4 linked regions of the Saccharomyces cerevisiae S288C genome follow. The gene in region 3 interacts genetically with the main gene of each other region. Each region holds a gene or a part of one and is shown on either strand. Other genes may lie near its edges. The genes, in order: NBP2, IRA2, SNF1 and REG1.

What was found.
Region 1: mutations in SNF1 (region 3) and NBP2 together harm fitness more than expected from each alone (negative genetic interaction), as found in Saccharomyces cerevisiae (4 studies listed by BioGRID).
Region 2: mutations in SNF1 (region 3) and IRA2 together harm fitness more than expected from each alone (negative genetic interaction), as found in Saccharomyces cerevisiae (5 studies listed by BioGRID).
Region 4: of SNF1 (region 3) and REG1, changing one suppresses a phenotype caused by changing the other (phenotypic suppression), as found in Saccharomyces cerevisiae (12 studies listed by BioGRID, with this or other methods).

Annotation. Positions count from the first base shown.
Region 1 is NC_001136.10:778,996-782,890, forward strand, and holds NBP2 (adaptor protein NBP2), read right to left. Parts: upstream 2,106-3,895; coding exon 1,395-2,105; downstream 1-1,394. Other genes in the region: ACL4 (Acl4p), read left to right, coding at 48-1,211; U2-type spliceosomal complex subunit CWC15, read left to right, coding at 2,428-2,955; SEC1 (Sec1p), read right to left, coding at 3,046-3,895. UniProt on the Saccharomyces cerevisiae protein: Negatively regulates the high-osmolarity glycerol (HOG) pathway through its negative regulation of the HOG1 kinase activity. Mediates the binding between the PTC1 phosphatase and the PBS2 MAP/ERK kinase (MEK).
Region 2 is NC_001147.6:169,152-175,177, reverse strand, and holds the start of IRA2 (Ras GTPase activating protein IRA2), read right to left. Parts: upstream 4,109-6,026; coding exon 1-4,108. Other genes in the region: ATG19 (Atg19p), read right to left, coding at 5,204-6,026. UniProt on the Saccharomyces cerevisiae protein: Inhibitory regulator of the Ras-cyclic AMP pathway. Stimulates the GTPase activity of Ras proteins.
Region 3 is NC_001136.10:1,410,826-1,415,882, reverse strand, and holds SNF1 (AMP-activated serine/threonine-protein kinase catalytic subunit SNF1), read right to left. Parts: upstream 3,511-5,057; coding exon 1,609-3,510; downstream 1-1,608. Other genes in the region: PEX29 (Pex29p), read left to right, coding at 1-673; SNM1 (Snm1p), read right to left, coding at 712-1,308; YDR476C (uncharacterized protein), read left to right, coding at 4,756-5,057. UniProt on the Saccharomyces cerevisiae protein: Serine/threonine protein kinase essential for release from glucose repression.
Region 4 is NC_001136.10:496,613-503,248, forward strand, and holds REG1 (protein phosphatase regulator REG1), read right to left. Parts: upstream 4,268-6,636; coding exon 1,223-4,267; downstream 1-1,222. Other genes in the region: VPS54 (Vps54p), read right to left, coding at 1-706; YDR029W (uncharacterized protein), read left to right, coding at 4,488-4,802; RAD28 (Rad28p), read right to left, coding at 5,141-6,636. UniProt on the Saccharomyces cerevisiae protein: Involved in RNA processing and negative regulation of glucose repression. Regulates the level of two antigens, P43 and P70. Binds to protein phosphatase type 1. Functions with REG2 and SNF1 protein kinase to regulate growth.

The sequences.
Region 1 (3,895 bases), 630 kb from region 3:
GAACTTATACCTAAAAGCATCTTCAGGCTGAGGATTAAAAAAGGAATATGAGTGAACTTGAAGCCACAATTAGGCAAGCCAAAGAAGCCCTGGCTGAAAATAATGCCAAAAAGGCGCTCAAAATATTGAAGCCGTTCAAAAGTTCACTGAAAAAAGAAAACGCAAACAATGTAATACTGAATGAAGTGTTTGCCGATGCATACCTGGATAATGGACAGGTAGAGAAAGCCTACCCAATTTTAGCGCGTGCTTGCGAATTAGATCCTGAGGGACAAGTTGGCGGACCGGACAAATTTTTTACCATGGGTCAAATCATGGGTGGACAGGATGGTGTATCGATAATAACTCGCGGAATAATGAACATCTCTAATACTGGAGGTGAAATGTTAACCAACGTTCAGGTTGAAAAGATTGTAGGTGGACTGCTTTCTGTGATTGAAATTTGGATGACGGATTTATGTATGGAGCCAAATGCAGAAGAGCAGTGTGAGGAGTTAATACAAAAGGCGATGGAACTCACAGAGGGAAAATCTCCTGAAACATGGTCTACCCTGGGTTCTATCAAAATCTCGCAACAAAAATTTGGAGAAGCTTATGAAGCATTCTCACAAGCCTGGAATTTCTTTGAGTTGAAAAAACAAGAAATTGGTAGCGGTATAAATGAAAATGGTGACACAACTCAGAAAGCTGGTTTACAGTCAGAGTATGTAGATCTTTTACAACCTCTTTTATCTTTAACAAAGATGTGCCTCGAAGTGGGAGCTTACGAAGTCGCATTGAAAGTTATTGCCGCAGTAAGAGATATAGATGAGGATAACATAGAGGGTTATTATCTAGAGGGTTTTACTTATTATTTAATGAGTAAATTAGAAATTTTCAAGTTGAACAATCCCGAAGTAAGCCTGCGTCCGGAAAATATATACGAGTTTAACCAACTCATTCAAGAAGTTCCTTTGGATTTATCCCACGAACCAATCTCCCAGTTAATCTATGACTCAAGATTAGCGCTAAGTTTTGCATTGCAAGCAGGTGTCAATGCTGACAGCAAAGATGAAATTGTGCAAGAATTATTGGGCGGTGCTAATGCTTTACTCCAAGAAATTGGTGGTCCTCTAGATCCAAGTGAGTTAACACAAATCAAGAAGGGTGATTTAGTGAATGAGAATGAAGACTTGGAAGAGTTGGACATAGAGGAAGAATATTCTGACTAATAGTCTTCTAATTTAACATATGCATAAGTACATACACTGATATATATGTATATATCCGTAAGAAACGGAAATTATGACATAGAACAGATGGAAGAAGATTCGGCCAGGCATACCGCCAGGGTGGTGACCTCTTTATCTGTTTTTAGTGAGTATTTTACTGTCATAACCAATTGGAATTTGTATTCAATCCGATATATCTAATTTTGTTTTCATATCTGCTTCGACCTCCGCAACATCATCAATATCTTCCCATTCATCGTTGTCGTCGTATTCATCTTCGTTAGTGTTATCAATATTGTTTTTAGGACTAACGCTCTGTGTAATCAAATGTGTCAAATAGAAAGGTCGAGCCTTATTCTCCACCTCGTTCTCACCATCTTCCGGCTGTATATAAGAGACAAACTCCTCCGGTACCAACCCTGTTTTTGATCCTGACTCATTTTCTGCTACTAGCCAACCTTGCCCATGCTTGTAACTGATAAATACGATGTCACCCTCAGCCAATCTCAATTCATTATCATTTTCGGGTTCGAAATCGTAGAGGGCAACAGCACGTTGGTTAACTATGTAGTCGTCTGGTAGTGTTATACTTTGTCTTTTATTGTATGTGTCTTCTCCATTTGAAGAATCTGAAACCATTTCATCCTCCTCATTGTCTCCATCAAAATAACCATAATGGAGAGGATTCGAATCTGCGTACGCATAATCTTTGATTGATATATAACCTATTGTGGTTGTTTCTGTATCTTCCATTGTGTCACTATTTCCTGCCTGCACTGCCTCCACCTCTCTCCCGTTCTGTAATACTGCCTCATTGAGAACACCTATAGTTTTTTTGAGACCAGATTTCAAAATATTGGTATCTTTTTGTGTGGTCGTTTCCATCGTTGCCATCGTAGATTCAATAAATATGTCAGTGGAAGTTAAAGTAAGGTAAAGTTGAGAAAAATACTTAAAATTTGTTAGTATCTATCACGTTTTATTGGTAGCTGTTATTATGTGTGATTGAGCGTGTTGTTACTGTGCACTGTGTTGCATTGTCCATTACAAGCTACTTCTGAAGTGAATTCTCCATTTCTCGCAACTGGAAAAATAAGTTGGTGTGACTAAAAATAATAGTCTATCTCTTCACGAAAAGGAAATAGGAATGACAAAGCTCCAAAAGGCTCCATAAAGAACTTGCTCAGAGGCTGGCATTTGAAAGGGCTACAAGACCATGACCACATCACACAGACCACAGTTAGAAGCAAGAAGCGGTGCAAAAGCGGCCGCTTATACACCAACAGGCATCGAGCATGCCAGATTACTACCAGGACATACAACATTAAAATACAGGAAATTTAAAGAGGAGGAAAATCTTAGAGCAAACTGTGCGCAAGAAGATAGGAGCAACGATAAATCTTTAGAGGAGGCAGTAATGAACGAAGAGAAACAGGATGTTGTGGGGAGTGGGAACCTCCAAGAAACCCGCAGTGAGAAAGACCAAAAAGACTCGTTGCAAGAGCTGCTGGTTACTCAAAAAAATAAAGTGGAAGATAAAGCAGAGCTTGAAGGAAATGAACAATTAAAGGGAGGAAATTCGTCTAGGCGATCGTGGAGAAAGGGCACGGCGTTTGGACGCCATAAAGTAACCAAAGAGACAAATATTAAGGAACATGCAACAAAAAAATCAGCGTCCGGATACATTAACGATATGACAAAATCTGAATATCATCAAGAATTTCTCCATAAGCATGTTAGATAGTACATAGGAACGATACATAAATAGTACGTTTATATCTTTTTTTTTTGACAAGAGCAAGTGATTTTTTTTATCACTGTCTTCTTTAAGGGATCATTTATCATGGTGAGATTTTCTTTTCAAGAACCTCGAGAATTTGCTACGTTTCTTCTCTTTTTCGGGTGGTTCTGACTTGAGAGAACCTGCTGCTTTGGGACTAGAAGTACCAGACTTAGGACTATTGTCTTGGCTTTTTAAATGAACATGAGAGACTGGTTGTGCCACCGGTTTCATTTCCCTTAGAAGGAAATCAGGCGGGTTTACTTGCTGGCGCTGATCTTCCTTGAATTTGAAAAATTCTCTAGGATTTTGTAAACGTTCCACTTCATCTAAGAATTTTGTTGGTGTTAATATCTCGTCGCTGCCAATAAAGATATCTCTGTTCTTCAAGTTTGATTGATCATAAGCAGCTTTAATTTCGGGAATTGATATACCACCAATAACATAGTAGAAGAATCTTTGTCTAGGTATGTTTTTTTTTATATTAGAGCTTTTCGTGGTCCAAGCTGCCTTGTGACGGGGATTCCTTAAGGATGAGGAGGAGTTAGCAGAGGTATTCGCTAAGCCTGCTTGGAATTCTTCTTCATTCAATAACTCAATTGGCTTGTCCTTTAAATATGGGAAGTATTGTTCGCTCAATAACAATGGATTCGCTATAACCTTTGAAAGAATATTCCCTACAGCGGGAACGAACCTTGAAGTGTGATAGATATTTGGATCATTCACTAAAGTATCATGAAACCATTCCTTTTGAAATGGTTTATCCTTCGGTTTGTCTTTGATCAATTTGAAATCAATTAAATCGTAATTTCTGAATATTTTTAAATATTGCTGGAAATTTTCATGTTCATGAGTAACTCCTATAAAGTTCAATAATTTAATGAAGTCTAACTCGATAATTCCA
Region 2 (6,026 bases), on a different chromosome or scaffold from region 3:
GATAGTTTAACCATTGGCATTGTTTTGAGATAAAAGAGTCTATATTTTTTTTCAATTCTGAAACGGTGTCGAGTAGGTATGGATACATTTCTTGCAATATCTTTTTATTGATGAATAGGATACCCGACAAAGAGGCTAAAATACCCGCGAAATTTCTGAAGTCGTTCCGTTCTTGTTTTTCTAAACTTTTACTGTGTGTGTAAGTATGCCACTTCTTATAGATCATCCTCATAGAATCAAGTAAGATAGCGTTAGGAATAGTAGCAAATCGTAAAATATTATTTCTTGTCCTCCTTTGGAAAGCAATTGAACCAGAAGTTGTGTAGTTGTCATGACACATCGCTTCTACAAACTCAATATTATGAACCCAAGTTTTATCAGCATCATCAATATTCCTCTCATGAAAATTGATTGCAGAAAGATACTCTGTGTAAGCAATCTTTAAAGTCTTTTCAATTTTTTGTTGACTAGAGTATAATGAAACAAATAGGGCCCTACCAACAGTCCCCATAATCAGCGGAAAGGTGAGTTTTTCAGAATCACTTATGTATTCCATGTGGTGTGAGGCCTCCGCGATCCCTGCTAAATGTGATCTAACCTTCATAAACTTGACAGTTATATCCAAGAGAATTTGACGCTTTTCATTATTAATTTTCAAATCGAAAAGGCCCATTGCAAATAATGTTACAGTGTAACTGCAAAGAAGATGATACCCTTCAATACTGATATTCTCATCTGATTCACCATAAGTAATAACATTCGATAATAAGGTATCCATGAATGATTGAGCAGTATTCTGTAAATCTACATCCGGACTTACGATGGCGACGAAAATCGGTTTCATAATATTTCTAAAATCCTGCGAAACCCATTGTAAATTCGAGTTTATATTGTGAGGAATGATGAAGTAACTATTCGGTCTCTTAAAAATACTGAAAATATTAATCATTATTCTTCTAGCATCTTGAAGAGTTGCTTCATTCAAATCTTTTGGTATCAAATGTTCTTGAATGTAATTATTTGTTGATTTCATGAATTTTCCTAAACTTTCATCGGAATAACGCCTCGTTCTTATTTTCTGCAAAGGCGATCGAATTCCGAATGCTGCCGACGATAATGGAGTAGAATTTGTTATGGCCATTGGTGTGGCACTGATGCTTTCCGTTTGCGGACGTTGTACTGGTGAAGATTTTTCCGTTCCTGGAGGTGAAGTCAATGTAGTCGGTATTTTATTCCTTATAATACTAGATGGCCCACCTAAAGCATGACGCGCTCTTGGGGCCACAAGATGTGACAAGTATGGATCAGAAGACAAGTTCTTTGGTGAACTGTTTAATGAATTAACGTTGTCAGAATTTCTTGAAGTACTTGAACCAACTAAAGACAGGGTGTTCATTGGACATATATCAGTATCCAGTCCCAGCGGAGAAACTGGTGTCATTGAACTTTGAGATGTAGATCCTGATCTTGACCGGGTTGTCGAACATAAAGAGGGTGAGCTCCCCTTGAAATGTTTCTTCGTACCATACTCATTGATAATTGTACCGTCAAGAATGGAAGCAACTATGTCGGTGATTTGCTCATCAAAATACGGAAATTCTTGTAAAAGAATATCTGCTATAATGGAGAATAATGTTTTGAAAAATTTAGAAATTTTAACCGCAATTGCCTTCCGCAATTCCTTCTTACTTGGTATGTCGAAGAATATCCTGAATCCTTCAGTATAAAGGCATAGCTTCTGCATGTTTAAATTGTTGGCCATTGTATCGATGCTCAGACGTGCCAGTAATAATTCATGATCGAATTGAATAGCTGAAGAGAAGAATATTAATTGTAATTGAACAAACGTGGTGGAGTTTTTTTTCAAACAAACCATCAAACTGTTATTTATTTTTGAATTCCAGTCTTGACCGACGCTTAAATTTGTCCCCATTATGGGGATGAGTCTCTTGGCAAAAAGTACTGAGGGTAAGTTTCTATCCACGAGAAAGACCGCAGAAGTCATTGTAAAGAATGATAGTAAGGCCCTCATTGTATCTAAGAGGGCAACATCTGATACAGCTTGATTCCCATTTAAATTTCTTAGCAACATCTTCACAAATTTTACAGTTTTTTTGGTTGAGGAAGGTAAAGAAGTTAATTTCTTTAAGCCTTGTGTAATATGTTTTATACCCGAAGTCTTTTCGGAACCTGTCTCGTGTGCAGTATTATTGAAAGAACTTGTTCTTTCTTTTGGACGATGCATAGTACAATCAGGAATATATTTGAATGATGTAGCGTTTAATTCATTAAAAAGGTCAATATCGAACATTGTCAAAGTAGTTAAAAACTTCAGTACGGATGTGTGTGGTAGTACCTCAGTATCATCAAAGTGCGTGTATAACTCCAAAACATTATCCAAACGAGTGACAGACAAAAAATGTTCGTCATAATCCTTACCAGTATGGCCAGTTTTGTGTGCATCGTATGAAGCGCGACTTTGTTGCTCTGCTGTGTATCCAGTTGGGGTGGAATTCGATGGTGAAGCAGCTGCGGCGGCGGCTGCAGCTGCTGAGTTCAACCGCTGTTGCAATTGTGTTGTTGGAGTTGGAGTTTGAGATAATAATGAAGATGCACTAATAGTGATGTTAGACATCGTGGGAGTATCTGGTAAGGAAGGGTCATATTCTCCTGGTTGAGTGTGAGTAGAGAAATCAGTTGTTGTTGAATTAGACGTTGAAGATGACAGTGAAGTAGAGGATTGAGAGTTTGTAGTCCATGAAGAATGTAGTTTTCTTTCAGACTGCTGTTGAATGTATGACTGGTGGTGAGAAAGCTGACGACTTAAGGATTTTGCTATTATGTTTTGATTGTTGTTATCCGATGATGATGAGCTAGGTGGTGACGATGGCGAGGAGGACGAAGGGGAAGATGAGCCTTGATGAGCATTTTGATTGGTGGTTATCATGCTATTCACATTAAAAGTCGAATGGATCTCCTCGAAAAGTGTATGGTTTAACGTGTTTAAGGATTTCGAGTGTTCATTGTTATTATCTTTTAATAAGTTGAAGAGTTCATAATATTCCGCAGGCCTAGCCATTATCCAAAACATTATTGCTTTGGCGCTGTAATGCAAAAGTAGGCAATGATAAATCGTTTTCCTTAACGTCACCGATAAGTTTTTGATGAGTTCCAAGTATTTCTTAAAATTATGCTTGCTTAAATAGATGAAGCTGAAAAGATCAAAGTGGGGCACTATGCTGTTATAAACGGAAGATGGCAAAGAGTGTGAATGGGAGTGTGAATGCGTGTGTGTCTGTGTTACGGGCACTTGCACACTCTTTCTGATAAATTCAAAATACTCGGACGGATTGGAAGCCGCTACAAATCGGAGAATATGGCCTAGAGTAGAGTCAATCATTTTACAATGAGAAGGATGGTTGTGCCTTGTCAGATAGGATTTGTGGCGGGGAAGAATCGAGGAACTCAAAGTCGTTAGAATGTTTCCATGAACATGACTGATCATATTTTGTAAAATTTGCAAAGTTCTTGTATTGAACTTCAACTTCGCGCAACTCTCAAGCAATTTCGATGCCAGTTCCGGTATCAGTGCCTGAGGTTTGCTCTGGTGGAAAAAGTGTTTGTTGCCATTGGAATGAGTCGACGAGTAGTCGGGCAGAATACTGTTAAGCTTTGGTCTGTACTTCTGTTCTTGGTCATGTTCTACGTGAGTCGAAATGTCGTTGTAATGAAGGCTTTCTTGATTTTGCCAATTATACTCTAGCGCATCACTTAACAATCTTAGTATAATCAGTATTGATTCAATAACGTCACTGCTACCCTTATCTGAAATGATTTCGTGCCCTTGAAGAAGCGATTCTATCAACTCCAAGGTGCCTTCCACCATAGCATTTGCATCTCGGGAAACGGTAACGTTAATGAGCACAGATCTGCATGAAATGAATGAGGAATACTCTTCCACTTCCGAATAGGTACTTAGATTAGACTCCACCGGAAGGATCGGGAGAATTCTTTCAAAAAGAATATGATTAACCAACGTCCGAGTCATGCGGGATGACTTGGAATCGGTCCCGTGTTCTTTCTTCTTATTCTTAGTGGGCTGGGACATGCTTCTCCCTGAAGAAAGATAATGTATACAGTTTAGTTGATATCAAAAAATGGTGTAACGTTGGGGGAAAAGTAACACTAAAGGAGAAAAGCAAAACGAATAACAGAGGACAATGCTATATGCTAGTGTGCTAAAATGTGGTTAAATGTTTGCTACAATTGGTGAAAAAGTACTTAAGCCTTGTTCTGATTTTGTTTTCGCTTTTTCGGTCTTTTGTTTCCCAGGAGCTCTAGACAATGAAGTAAGCGGAGAGAATGTAGGGCAATAGGATGTGCTTAACTCCCCGGTTATATGTAGAATAGATAATCGTTGGGCAAAACTTTTCACAAGAAGACACAGCAAAGCTTGGGGTTTTCAAAAAGGCGTGCGAGCTTTATTGTGATGGAAATTTTCGTTTCATCAAGGGAGCGTTCTAGAAGAAACGAGAGCTCTACGAACATTTCTGCGCCGCGGATTGATTCACCGATCGGGTGACCCTTTTTGAGGAGCTACTTTGGGTTGGAATCACACTAAAATGTGTAAGGCGGTCAGTATAGCAAAGAACTTGGGGTGGGACGCTGGTGCCGTGCAAGAAAGGCTACGTGAACCTCGTACTAGTCCAAGATATTGGCTCGATGCATTAATGGCAGACTCTTATCTCGCTAAGATGTTTGAAGGCACATCGGTTCTAGAGGTCCAAGTCCCAACCCAAGTCAAGGCCAAGCAAGGCAAGGGGATTTAGAATAGTTCTATCATTCTGCGGGGAATGAGCGGAAGAGTAAGAGTATTGGTTCTGTTGTGGATGACACTTACAAGGGTAACTACTGTTTTTCTTGTTTTCTTATTTTCTTGTTTCCCTGCTTTTCTCTGGGATCTGTGCGGAAGGCGTCATGTCCCTGCTCGTCCCTGATTGTCCGTACTTTTCTGGTTAGCCGTATATCGTTTGAAAGTAGATGGCATGTATGAAGAGCATGATGCTAGGTGATAAGTAATGAGAGGCCTTAGGAAGTAAAGAGTTTCGAAAAGGGTTATTTTATATTTATTGTATTTATTATATTTAATATATTTATGTGTATGTGAAAAGGTACTCATTGCTGTATAAAAATAGAGTTTGACCTAGAGTTCTTCCCAAGTCAGGGCTTTTTCATTGTCGTCACCGTCATAAGAGAGTGAAATGGATGTACTGATGATACTAGAGTCATCCAGTTCTGGTAACGTATCGATTTGAAAGGAGTAAAATGGCTCTTGGGATGCCTGTAAACTTTCTGCAGATAATCTTGAAGGTGGCCTTAAGTTAATCATTGGAGAAGAGCCATACTTGCCCAAGAAGATCACTTCTCCATACTGATTTTCAATCTCGATAGTGGAGCCGGCCTCTAAATCAAGTGCGTATGGAAAGTATCGGTATTCCTTGTACTCCTTTATTCCTATTTCATGAGGACCCATGTCAATAATTTGCGTGGTTGGCTTATCGCCAGCGTCAGTAAACTTCAGTTTGCAGTTGCCTGCCAAAACAGAGTTTGTGTTGTTAAACAACTGGAAATACAATGAATTGTCCCTTTGGTTCATTGTGATTTGCAATGAGCGCTCATTTGGGGGTTCCACTTCTATTTTAGTTTCCTTTTTCGAATGGTCAGAGGCGATTTCCGTCTTACTGTCACATTCTTGTGATAACCTCTCATAGTCATGGTAACGTTGAAAAACGTCCTCAAGTTGTTTGACTGTTTTCAACTCTGTGAAAAAGTTCACTAGTTCGGACCTATCTTCTGGTATGTCAATCGTACCGCTTATTCTGTGGTTAGGTTCTTTATTTGTGACCTTTTGCTCCAATTCCAACTTATTTAACGATTCTTCCAACTTAAGGAGTTGTTTCATGAAGTTATCCAAGCATTCTCTTGACACAACCACATTAGAGGTGGAATTAGGGCTTATCTCTTCT
Region 3 (5,057 bases):
GACTATAAGTACTAATCTGGAATCTAAGATTTTGCAGCATTTGAAACTCATTGAGGCTAGGGAGCACCGACTTGTTATGATCTTTGAGATCCAAAAGTATCTTCCTGAATACAAAGAATGGCGCCCAGTTGGATTCTCTGATGACGATTATTCTCTTTTCTCTAGTTTGAGAATATACCAGAGGCGTATTGAGGAAAATTCAGTGAAGTCATTAGAAGAAATTGAGCCACCTAAGGATTGGGAATGGGAAGCCAATTCTCATTGGGTGCTTGATTTGGATCCAAAAGAATGGGTAGAGGACGAATTTATTCAGTATGTCGAGATAGATTCAGAAACAAAATGGGTCTATGACCTCAATCTTGATGGACAAAGGGGCTCATATAGAAGGCGAATGTGGACCAACAGTTGCGTGCGGAAAAAACTGGATTCTGGTATTTCTTCAAACCTTGGTGAGGAGGAAGTAGTTAATCCATTGAGGGAAGAAACATATAGGCAAGGCGTACATGGCGTGACGAAGGGTTCAATGAGTGGCGGTCTAACTCACAGTAGTGATGATGACCGCGCTGATGAGGAAAGTATAAACGGTACTATTCCTAATCTCAACAATATCGACGCGGATGCATCTTATCCGTCAATCGAAGAGCTAACAGACACTCTCAATTCAACTATATAAACTTGATTTGTTATACTATATGTTCACTGATGATACAGTCAACTTTTCATAAAACTTTCTAATGACAGTGACGAACTTTTCTTCTTTTCCATTTTTTTCTCTTGATTTCTTTTCGATAAAAGGTTTGTAAGTGAGTTCAACTTTCTCTTCTTGGATCTCTCCTTACCAGTACTAGTTTTACTCTTTTGGGGCTTCTTTACCGCGTACGAAACCTTCCCGCTGCTGGTACTATTGATCATCGGACTAACATCTTGTCCAAATGTTGGAACAACGAACTCAGATTTCCACTCAAACAATTTAGACTTTTCACAATTCAAGCAATTAACCTGGATACATTTTTTTGGTCCTTCCATACTCTCGCCGCCAAGTTCGTCGGAGTCACCTTGCTCGGTATTAGTCGTTAACTGAAGACTTGCGTTAAAATTAGGAACGTAAACACACCCGCAATGGGAGCAAAATTTCCCACTTTTCAGTTGTTCTGGCAGCATGATTTGATATCGCTTCACAGAATTATGAAAATTTTTATAGTATAGTCCCGATAACGCTCTGGAATTCAGTGTTGGCAGTACATGTAGTAGGTTGTATTTTTGTCGCAGACTCCGTTCTTGATATTTTTCTGCCTGGTCTTTATTCATTTTTGGGATCCTTTTGTTGTACGATTGTCAAAGGTTCAGTATTTTTATTGTAGCCACTAGTAGTACTCATCTCTATTTTCACATAGAATAGCGTTTTCAATTTTTCTCATAGAGCGTGAAATTTGCTTTTCATCCGAAGAAATAATGCCAATAAAAGAACATTCACATCAATAAATTATGTTCAGGTTTATTTAATCAAGATTGTTTACTTTATACAAAGGGATATTATAAAGATGTTGCAAATACGTTACGATACATAAAAAAAAGGGAACTTCCATATCATTCTTTTACGTTCCACCATCAATTGCTTTGACTGTTAACGGCTAATTCCATAATTAGTTTTGTTGTTAAATGTAAAAATGGGTAGGCTGAAAAAGTACTCATTTCATCTTCAGAAATATTAGAAACAGTAGTATCATCTCCATAACTACTTTCCCAGCCGTCAAATTTGAAATCCACCAAATAATTATTGGTTTCAATTTGAAATAATTGAATTACCATTTTCATTAAATCAGGTATTTTTTCATTAGTGTTTGTCTTGTTTCCAATATCATATTTCCACCTTAATTTGATAGTCCATAAATCCTCTTCAGATGGCTTGGCCCATTCGGCACCCAAATTCTTCAAGGCAATATAAATTTCACCCATAACGTCTAATGGATATGAGCGAGATCGTATACCAAAATGCCATCTCGTTTTAGATTTTTTCGTTACAAGAGGAGATATTTTAGAGGCAGCTGGCGAACCTTGTGCTAACATATTAGCTCTGTGGATCTGAGGTAAAGATGTAGGCAAAATGGAAACTGTAGAGTCTTCTTCTTTATACTGATCCATGAAGGGTGATTGGTGATATGTCCTTTGTTGAGTGATAGCACTTGCCATCCTTCTTGCGTGTTGCTTGGCAGTTTCATGATCTACTTGACTCTTTTGATGGGATTTGCTTTGTTGTTGAAAAGTTGGAGGTGACTGGGACAGAAAGGTATCCAGTTCATCACTGACGCTTTTGTTTGCCTTCATATCCTTGATCAAAGATTTATTCTCCTTAATCAACATGTACGCGTCCCTAATTTCGTTGAATGCAGGAGTGTCTTCTGATGATTCTAAGGACTCATAAATCTCGTCTTTTTCGTAACCCATGGTCGATGATAAAATATTGACAAGGTTGTCATCAATTTCATCGTTATCTGGGCTGCTGCCATCCTTTTTTGAGTCATTATTTTCATTCTCTTCTTCTGGGTGTGGTTTCAAATCTGGTGGAAGTAGATATTCTGGCAGGTCAACTTTGAACCAATCGTCTTGCATAATTTCATGAATGCTTATTCTGTTCAATGGATTAACGATTAACATTCTTTTGATTAGCCCAGCAGCTCCAGGAGATAAAAATTTAGGCAAGGTGTAAACACCGTTGCTGATATTCTTGAAAAGCACTGGGATGCTTTCATCGTCAAACGGTAGACGACGACAAAGCATAACATAAAGGATAACCCCACATGACCACACGTCCACTTCTGGGCCTGCGTACAGCTTACCGCTGATAACTTCAGGAGCCGCATAATTGGGAGAACCACAAGAAGTCTTTAAGAAATTACCATCAGTCATGATGTTTGACAAACCAAAATCGGCAATCTTTACATTCAGATGCTCATCTAGTAGTAAGTTTTCAGGCTTCAGATCTCTATGGACAATTTTGTGCCTATGGCAGTACTCGACGGCACTGATGATCTGCTGGAAAAATCTTCTTGCCTCTTGCTCGCTCATTTTGTCTCTCTGAACAATATAGTCAAACAATTCGTTCCCGGCGTACTCTATAACCATAATGATTTCATCTTTGGATTTGATAACATCATACAGTTTGATGATGTGGGGGTGTCTTAAGAGTCTCAGATAAGATATTTCTCTTTCAATTCTGCCCTGCATATCACTCTTTGCCAAAACCTTCTTATTAATGATTTTTAGAGCAACTTTTTGGCCCGTAGTGGTATGATATGCCAATTTAACTTTACCAAAGGACCCCTCTCCCAGCGTTTTGACGATTTGGTAGTTCCCGATATGTGCACCATCCGCTAAGGACGACTTGGGATTGTTTAGCGTCGAGTTGCTTCCGCCATGACCGTGATGGTGGTGGTGATGGTGGTGATGGTGGTGGTGGTGGCTAGAATTTGCATTGGCAGGTGCTGTGTTTGTGTTGTTGTTACTGCTCATGTTGACTTTATTAAGGGAGTGTAGCAAAACTTGTTACAAAAAAAAACTTCTATTTCTTTCGCTATGATTATTGAAACAGCCTCTATATATTATCAAAAGCCAATGACACTGAAACAATTTCTATTGTCGTGCTTTTTTTTTTTTTTTCAGGCTTCAATCTATTGTTTATCGTTATACTTCCTGAATGACTGTTTGGACACGAATGCGCAGTAAGAGGAAATGTGAAAAAAGAATATTTCGATAAATGAAAGTTCTGGTAACAAGCCTACAGTACTAAGCCCAAAGCTATGTCTTGGCCCCTATAACGCTACCTGTTGATGTGCCATACTCTTACCAACTTTCTTTTACGTTAAAAATTTCCATCCCCTTCCGCTACGAGAAAAACTGCAGAGGGTAACTATGACATGTACTTTCTAATATGGGCCTATAAGGACTATATACATATGACTAACATTGAGTAAAACCAGGTCTCGAGTCCCATCATCACGCCCATCCTTTTGCATCCACGCCGCCACGCAATTCCTCTTTTTTTGAAGTTACTTGCGTCATGTGGGACATCATATGGGACATCATAGCCTGCAAGATCGAGAGTTAAATATACGACTAAAAGAAATAGTAGCACACTGCCATTTCCAGCTTTTAGTCCCTTGGGGAAGGTTCAGCATTTGATAGCAAATGATTGTACAGTTTATAACCGTATCTAAACGTACGGACATGTTTTTTCCTAGGGCCTCTATTAAAAAAATCTTTGAAATTTCCCTTCAATGCCACCCTTTTTTGCCAGGCATTGGTGGCCATGATTTGTTATGGCTTCCAAGAAAAGGTTTTACTACAGACGCCTTTACTACAGAAGATGCCTCTTCCTATCGTGATTTGCCCTCCAGACAAAAGCCGCGGACATAACGATGGCGGATTGCATTAGACAATGATTGCTATACGGAGGCGAAAGAGATAGCTAGCGACTTCTTAAAGGCGACATTGCTCCGCTACAAACGTGGTGGAGTTTTAACCCTACGAATTCAGTTACAAGGTTGAAGTTAGTGAGCAGCTTCTGTTCTGCCGTTTCTTGCGCAGTCTTGAACTTTCTTGGTCTTGCCATGTGGTCGGGATATTCTGTTCGTTTATAATTACTCCTTGCCACAAAGTGCACACCTATTTGGATATGGTATATATAAAGAGTGGAGGCTTATATCGGCGAGAGCGTGCGTTCTATCAACTCAAGCAAGTATACGGGTATACACAAGTATGTGGGATTCGTTAATTGTAAGCATCAACGATACGCACAAGTTGGGGCTGGAGGATTGTCTCGCCGTTTTTGGCCACGTTCCCATTACCAAGGCCGTCAAGCATGTCAGACTGACAGAGATCGACACGCAGACGTCCACGTTTACGCTCAAGTTCCTTCACACAGAAACGGGTCAGAACATCGAGAAGATTATCTACTTCATTGACAATGACACGGGCAACGATACCCGCACTGCTACCGGAATCAAGCAAATCTTCAACAAGATGTTCCGCATCGCTGCGGAGAAGAGGAAGCTGTCGCT
Region 4 (6,636 bases), 910 kb from region 3:
AATCGATAGCGTCCAACACTTTATGAAAAGTTCGAGGGTTATCTAATTGAAATTTGTCTGAAAAGTAAAAGTCAGGTATACTATTTATTAGCTCGGCATCCCCTTGCCTCAGATTTGCTTCAAACGACTCCTCATGCATATTTTCCCCTTCTCGCAGTTCTTTTAACTGTTCCATCTGATTCATGTTTCTTATATTATTTGTGCTTTGAAATATTTGGTAATCACTTTTAATGTTTTTGACGTATTCGATAACATGAGTTTTCCAATGGTCATCCAGATCATTTTTGCTTAGGCTAACTTGTGGAATATCAGCAACAGTGGGGTAATTGAGCCAGTTTTTCCTCCTTGTGTTCATCACAATTTCATAGATGGAGTTATTTCCCAATGGCGAAAAGTCCATGGACCCACTATGTGTTTCATTTTCAAAACCGAATGATCTACTATTTGCAACAGATAGTGTCCTAGAATCAAAACTTCTTCGCGGCGTTATTGAATCCAGACTTAATCTCGAAGATCTTCTCGCTCTTGGTGTGACACTGCCAGATATACTTAACAAGTCGTCATTAAGGGAAGTATCACCCTCTATAGTAAAAGAGCCACTATCACTATTACGAGAAGGCGATCCCTCAGGAACAACAATTTTAGGACGACCAGCCGCTTTTTGCAGTCCCTGGCTTTTATTATGAGGTGTTTCGCTTATTGACATTGGCCAGATACCTCACCAAACCTTTAAATTGTTTTAATACTGCTTTAGGATATCAATACTGCCAATTACTGTAAGCTCTGCCTAAAACAAAGTTGTGCCTAAAACAAGCCGTGTCGTAGTTTGTTTTGTTTACTTTCTAGACTGTTGTGTGGTGTCTTCTTTATAAAGGAAAAACCCTTTAAAGATCGAAGAAAACATTGATTGTACTCTATCTGAAAATCATTACCCACGAACATATCTTAGATCAGCTGCGTTTAATTGCTAATATATAGAACACACATACGACTATGGAAGCTCAAGAAGTTCTTGTACATAAGTACCAAATATTGTAAAGGTATAAAGAAGTTTTGAAATCTGGAGCGAATTTAATTGTGTACGTAAAATAACTGCTTCGCTGTCTACATTTGTCCTTGACAATGCCAGTCGATTACAGCTTACTTGGATCCTAAAGACGGCACTGATCCACACTACCTGGATTTTTATTTTCTCTTCATGTTGACTTCAAAATTCTTTCTTCTAACTGCTGTCATTTCCATTTTCTTGTGGCTTGACGTCACTCTTTTTCCAAGAGTGCAAGTACTTGCTTGCCATACCTCTTGCATTCTGCACCACTTTGTGTAAGCTTTCATTACTCGAATCCGTCAAAGACGCTTCTTTTCTAGTGGTTTGCACGCTATCAACTTTCTTGTCCTTTAGCTTACTAGCATTATTTATATGGCAGTTTTCAAATCCTTTTGCCAAAGTGTCCATTTCTGAGTGATCTTGATGGTCCATCATATTTCCCCCGGAAACAACAGACTTGATAGATTCATTTCTAGGAGAGAAATAACCCTCTATGGCAACATCACTCGCCCCCACTTCGGCTGGTGAAGGAGTATTATTTACAATTCTAAAGCTTTGTGAACTATCGGACGCTTTTGGCTGCTTTGGAAGGGCTTTTTTCTTCTGAGATGATATGTTTGCTGGTGTCACACTGCCTTTCAATACGCTTCGATTAACCAGCTGACTGTTAGCGGGTAATGGTCTTTGTTCCTCCTCGCTGCTACTCTCTTCTTCACTATCTGAATTGAATATGAAGTTCCCTGAAGAGGAATTGCGCTTCAACGGATACGGCCTGACAGCCAGTTGTGCATCTTTGTCTACATCAGTTTTACCCCCTGTAAAATTAGTAGGATTTTTTTGTTGAGGAGTTGCCGAAGAGAGTGATGGTTGTGCTAGATCGTACAAAGAATTGGTAGATCCTGATTTCCCAAGTGACAATGTTCTCCTCAGTGAAAGTCCTTCATCGTGGTTATCGTCTACTTCTTGGTCATCGTCATCTTCTTCCTCTTCGTCGTCGCTACTATTGTATTGTGAGTCTTCAATAAATTGCTGTTCGCTATCTGATGAAGAGCTGTAATTGTCGTCGTCATATAATAACATATGCGATCCATGTTGACGTGTTGTATTATTTGCTGAAGCTTTGTGTAGTTGTGGAACATGTTTTTCCTTGGATTCTACCGCATTGTTAAATTCATAGTTTGATGCATTATCATCTGCAATGGCTGTTTGTAAGTCCATTCCTTCAGGAACATCTACAATGTCACATGAATCTACTGGTAAAAAACTGGAAGTATCACCAGTGTAGACCGAGTTATAATCGTATATGTAATCATAGCCTCTGGAGGTATTGACGTTATGTGACACAGCATTACCATACCCATTAAATTCGCCATTATCAGATTCTTCGTCTGATCCATAATTCAAAGTGGTATCAGGAAGCAACTTTATTATGGGACGTACATGAGCTCTGGAAGTAGTAGATGAAGCCACAGAGGAATTATCTGTTATTGGTGAATGAACTCCAGAGTCAGACCTCCTGGAAAATCTTGCATTTATGTAAAGGCCGCCGTGTTCTTCATCATCAGAATGTGATGAAGATGATGATTGTGAGGATGTATCATCGTCGCTAGTATTTTTGTTCAAATGTTCAGTTGCGGAGTTGATAGGAATAGATTTATGCTGAATGGCTAGCAATGGAGTCCTATTGTTGTTTATTGTTGTAACGTTCGCATTGTTATTAACATCAACATATTGTTTATTTTCATCATCGCTTTCATCATCCTCCGATTGTGAAGCTGGATATCGTAGTGCCATACATTGTTCCACCCTGTCATTAAAATGTATATGTCTATTTTTAGTAGGTTTGTTAGATTTTTCACTTGGGTTTGAGGTTAATATTGATGATAATCCCATGGAATTGTTTTCATTATCTCTATTGGAGGAAGATGTTGAGGAGGGGAACCTATTATTATCAGGAGAATTTAGGTTTTGATCCAAGTTAGCCTTACGATCATTGGTACTATTTTCTAGTATGCTTTTGTTTGATTGTGCCGTTGACCTATTGTTTTGAACATGAAGCGCTGACTTTAAATGCAGGTCTTCTTCTCCCTTGTCACCGCCACCATTTGAATTTTCTCCTACAGGATTCGGTATGGTAGAATTATCTTTTTTGTCAGAGTGTTGACTCTTCAAACTAACGCTACTGTTCGATTCTTTGGGATAATGGTAGTACTGGGCGTTAACTTGAGCGGCCAGAGCATCGAAATCGTCATGGACGTTTTTGTTGCCATTGGGATCCATTATTACCGAAGCATGTTTCATTTCTGTCATGTGTTTTCTTGCCTCATTCAGTTTCCATAAAGCGTTGTCCTCTATAATTTCTGTGACGGTTCTCTTCTTCAAAATTGGTTTCGGAGCAGCTGCGATCGACTTTGAATTTTTAGTGGGCATTGAAATTCTCTTGGAATTTTCATCATCCGAACCATATCCTCTTTCTAGATCATGTTCTTCTTCACTTTGGGCATTACCTTCAGAATCTCTTACAATAGGGCCATATAGCCAAGTCACATCAGAATCTTTTGACCAATTAACCACTTCAGGTGACACTGTTTTCAAGTTGTTTCTTGCTTTTGCCCATGTTCTCCATGAGGCATTTTCTAACCTAGCAGCATTTACTAGATCAACATCTCTTTTCTTTTTCTTTAGGATGATATATTTCCAAGAATTAGAAATTTCTGATTCTTTCCATTCATGTGACAGATAGTCAACATGTCTTTCTGGCTCTACCACTACGTCATTATCATCTTGTGGAATTAAGTAGCTATCATTATCCGCCGGCGGTGGAGAAACGGAGGTTGAGTGTTCCTGATAGCCGTCATCATAATCATCATCTGAAGAATTGCTTGAAGAATTATTAGATGAGTTGTCATAATATTCATTGTCGTTATCATATAAGTCGTCTGACCTTCCTAGCAATTTCTTGGTAGGGTCAATATATTCATCAAGAAGGCCCATTGATCTTGTTCTTTTAAGGTTGAAAGTTGATTTATGGAAATCATCATCATTTTTCGCTTGAACAGCCATCGATACTGAAGGCCCCATATCTTCGTCGTTGTCGTTATCGTTACCACTAATTTTGACATCACTTTTGCTATTACTTTCATGGCTCGCATTTCTATTTACATGCTCGTTTTCAATATCTTTCTTACCGGCGAAGTAATTTGCTAGATTTGTTGACATTTTTGGATTTTTCTTATCTCGTCTTCGTCAATATGCTTGCTTTAGGATTTATAATCTTCAAGGATATTATCTTTTCCCCCTTGCTTTGACTTTTCAACGTTCGTACAGAACACCAGGTGTGTGGTTATACGTATAACAGCCAAAAGCTAGCCCTCGTAAAACTAGTATACCAATTAGTTCTCTTTCAGGAGGTGGTGTTAAAAAAATAAGAGAGATAAAGATGAGCAAATATTATATCTTGATAGAGCTGATGAACGATAAAAAGAATACTAACTCTAGTTGTGATATTTTCTCTTTCTATTTAAATTTCAGCGATAACCCTTTCTCAAGCTTTCGTTTGAAATCGCGTCTCCTATATGGTATATTCTCCTGTTTTCTCCTTTTTTATTCCTTAAAAGACCTGATAGGGGTATTCAAACAAAAGTATTTATATTTGTCTATTCTTCTTTTATGGCTTCTTGTTCTCCTGTTCTGTCTTGCAAAAGGCTTGTCACACAATCTCAGGGCTGATTCCTTCCTTCAATATCCACTGTGAGTTTAAATGCAAACAAAAATAGAGTGAATAAAAAAAGCTTTCGGCCCGGAATTGGTTAACCCGACTTACCAATATTATGTCAGAAAAGAGGCTACAGCTGAAACTAAGGTGAGGTGGTAAGAAATGCTCTCTATTGAAAAGTATGCATGAAGTGGAGGATAAGAGGTGAAGCGGCTTGGTAAAATATACCTGCCAAGTCTGAGATGAAAGCATTTGTATATAGCTATTAGTTGTATATTCGTGTGTAGCGATATACGTTTCCGGGTAATACAAACCTACATTGGTTCAATTATAAGAGCCGCGAAGACTATTATCATATTCTATACGGCATTTATTACTTATGAACATTCAAAGATGGATCCGCCGTCGCTAACGGTGTTGTTGTTAGTTCCAAAGAACAATTTGAGGCCAACTGAATTCATTATATTTGTTTGCACAATCATGGAACTAAACTGACAATGCGAAGCCTGATTTTTTTTTACCTGATTAACCATTGGGTATTCGAGCTTGTTCCAAAGTTTTTTTTCCTCCGTATTGTATATTTCTACTTCACCATTGTCAGTAATACACAGTAAAAACTTGTCAAACCAAAGCAACCTTCGAGATACTCTTTTTTTGTATTTGATACGGCTCAGGTCTTGTGTTCCCAACTGGGAATAACTAGCTAGACCTTCTGGTTGCAGAATTTCCGTAAATGGCCTCCAAACATTCAGTTTTCCATCCATGCCGACTGAACATAGCTCTGAACCCTCACTATTCCAAACAATGTCACTGCAACATCTCAGATGGGCTTTTGATTGGTTAGAGCTGAAATAGACATCGCTTTGATCGTCATTATCATCGTTATTTATAGTCTTGAACCTATTTTTATTTCTTTTCAATTCTGAATACAGTCTGTTCCTCATTCTTAGATCCCATAATTTTACCCCACCCTCCATGTCACCACAAGCAATAATCTGTTCCCTGACGGGGTTAAATTTGCAGCATAAAATTTCTGATTGCATTCGTGTTTGATTTCCCATTCCAAGCGCAGTTACCCCTGAATTCATGGTTCTCAGGTCAATTAATCTTGGATAGTAGTCTTCACTTGCCACTACAAGCAAAGAACTGTCGTCGACAACGTTATTATCAATTTGATTTATTTTATACCCCAGGTTTATATCTTGAACCGCTTCAAACCTGTTTGTGTCCCATATTTTTACAGTTTTATCATTTGAGCCAGTAAAAAACATCCCATTATCAGCCTTATACCACTTCAAAGTTGTTATACCATATTTATGGTGAGATATGGAAGCTTCTGAATCTGTTTCAGATAGTGTCTCACTAAACCCGATAGGAGAATCCGTTTTATTTGATATGTGTGATCTTTGAACTGGAACTGCAGCACTAGACTGTCTATACATTCGATATTTGTTTCTCTGTGTTTGAAAACTGTGCACCAGTCTCATAGTGTTGTTGTCGTTTATTCGTGTTCTTTTATTTTTATAACCCATTATTTGAGCAGGCTCATCATCTGATTGGTGAGGCTGTCGCTTGATATAGTTTAGCCTTTTATTGATCAATTCCTGTTCACCTTCATCATTGCGGTGCAATGATTCATCTAAACCCCAAATGGAAAGTGACCCATCATCTCCACCTCCTAATAACACTTGACCAGTATCATCAATATCAAGACAGTTAACACCTATACTTAACGGTGTTTTTTCTTTTGTACTATAGTTTGATTGTTTACTAAATCTGTAGTTTTTCATATTTGATAGGGGATCTTCAAGGATCCTCTCAAATTCGCTTTGAATAGTTCTTCTATAAAATTCATTTAATGAGATATTGCCTA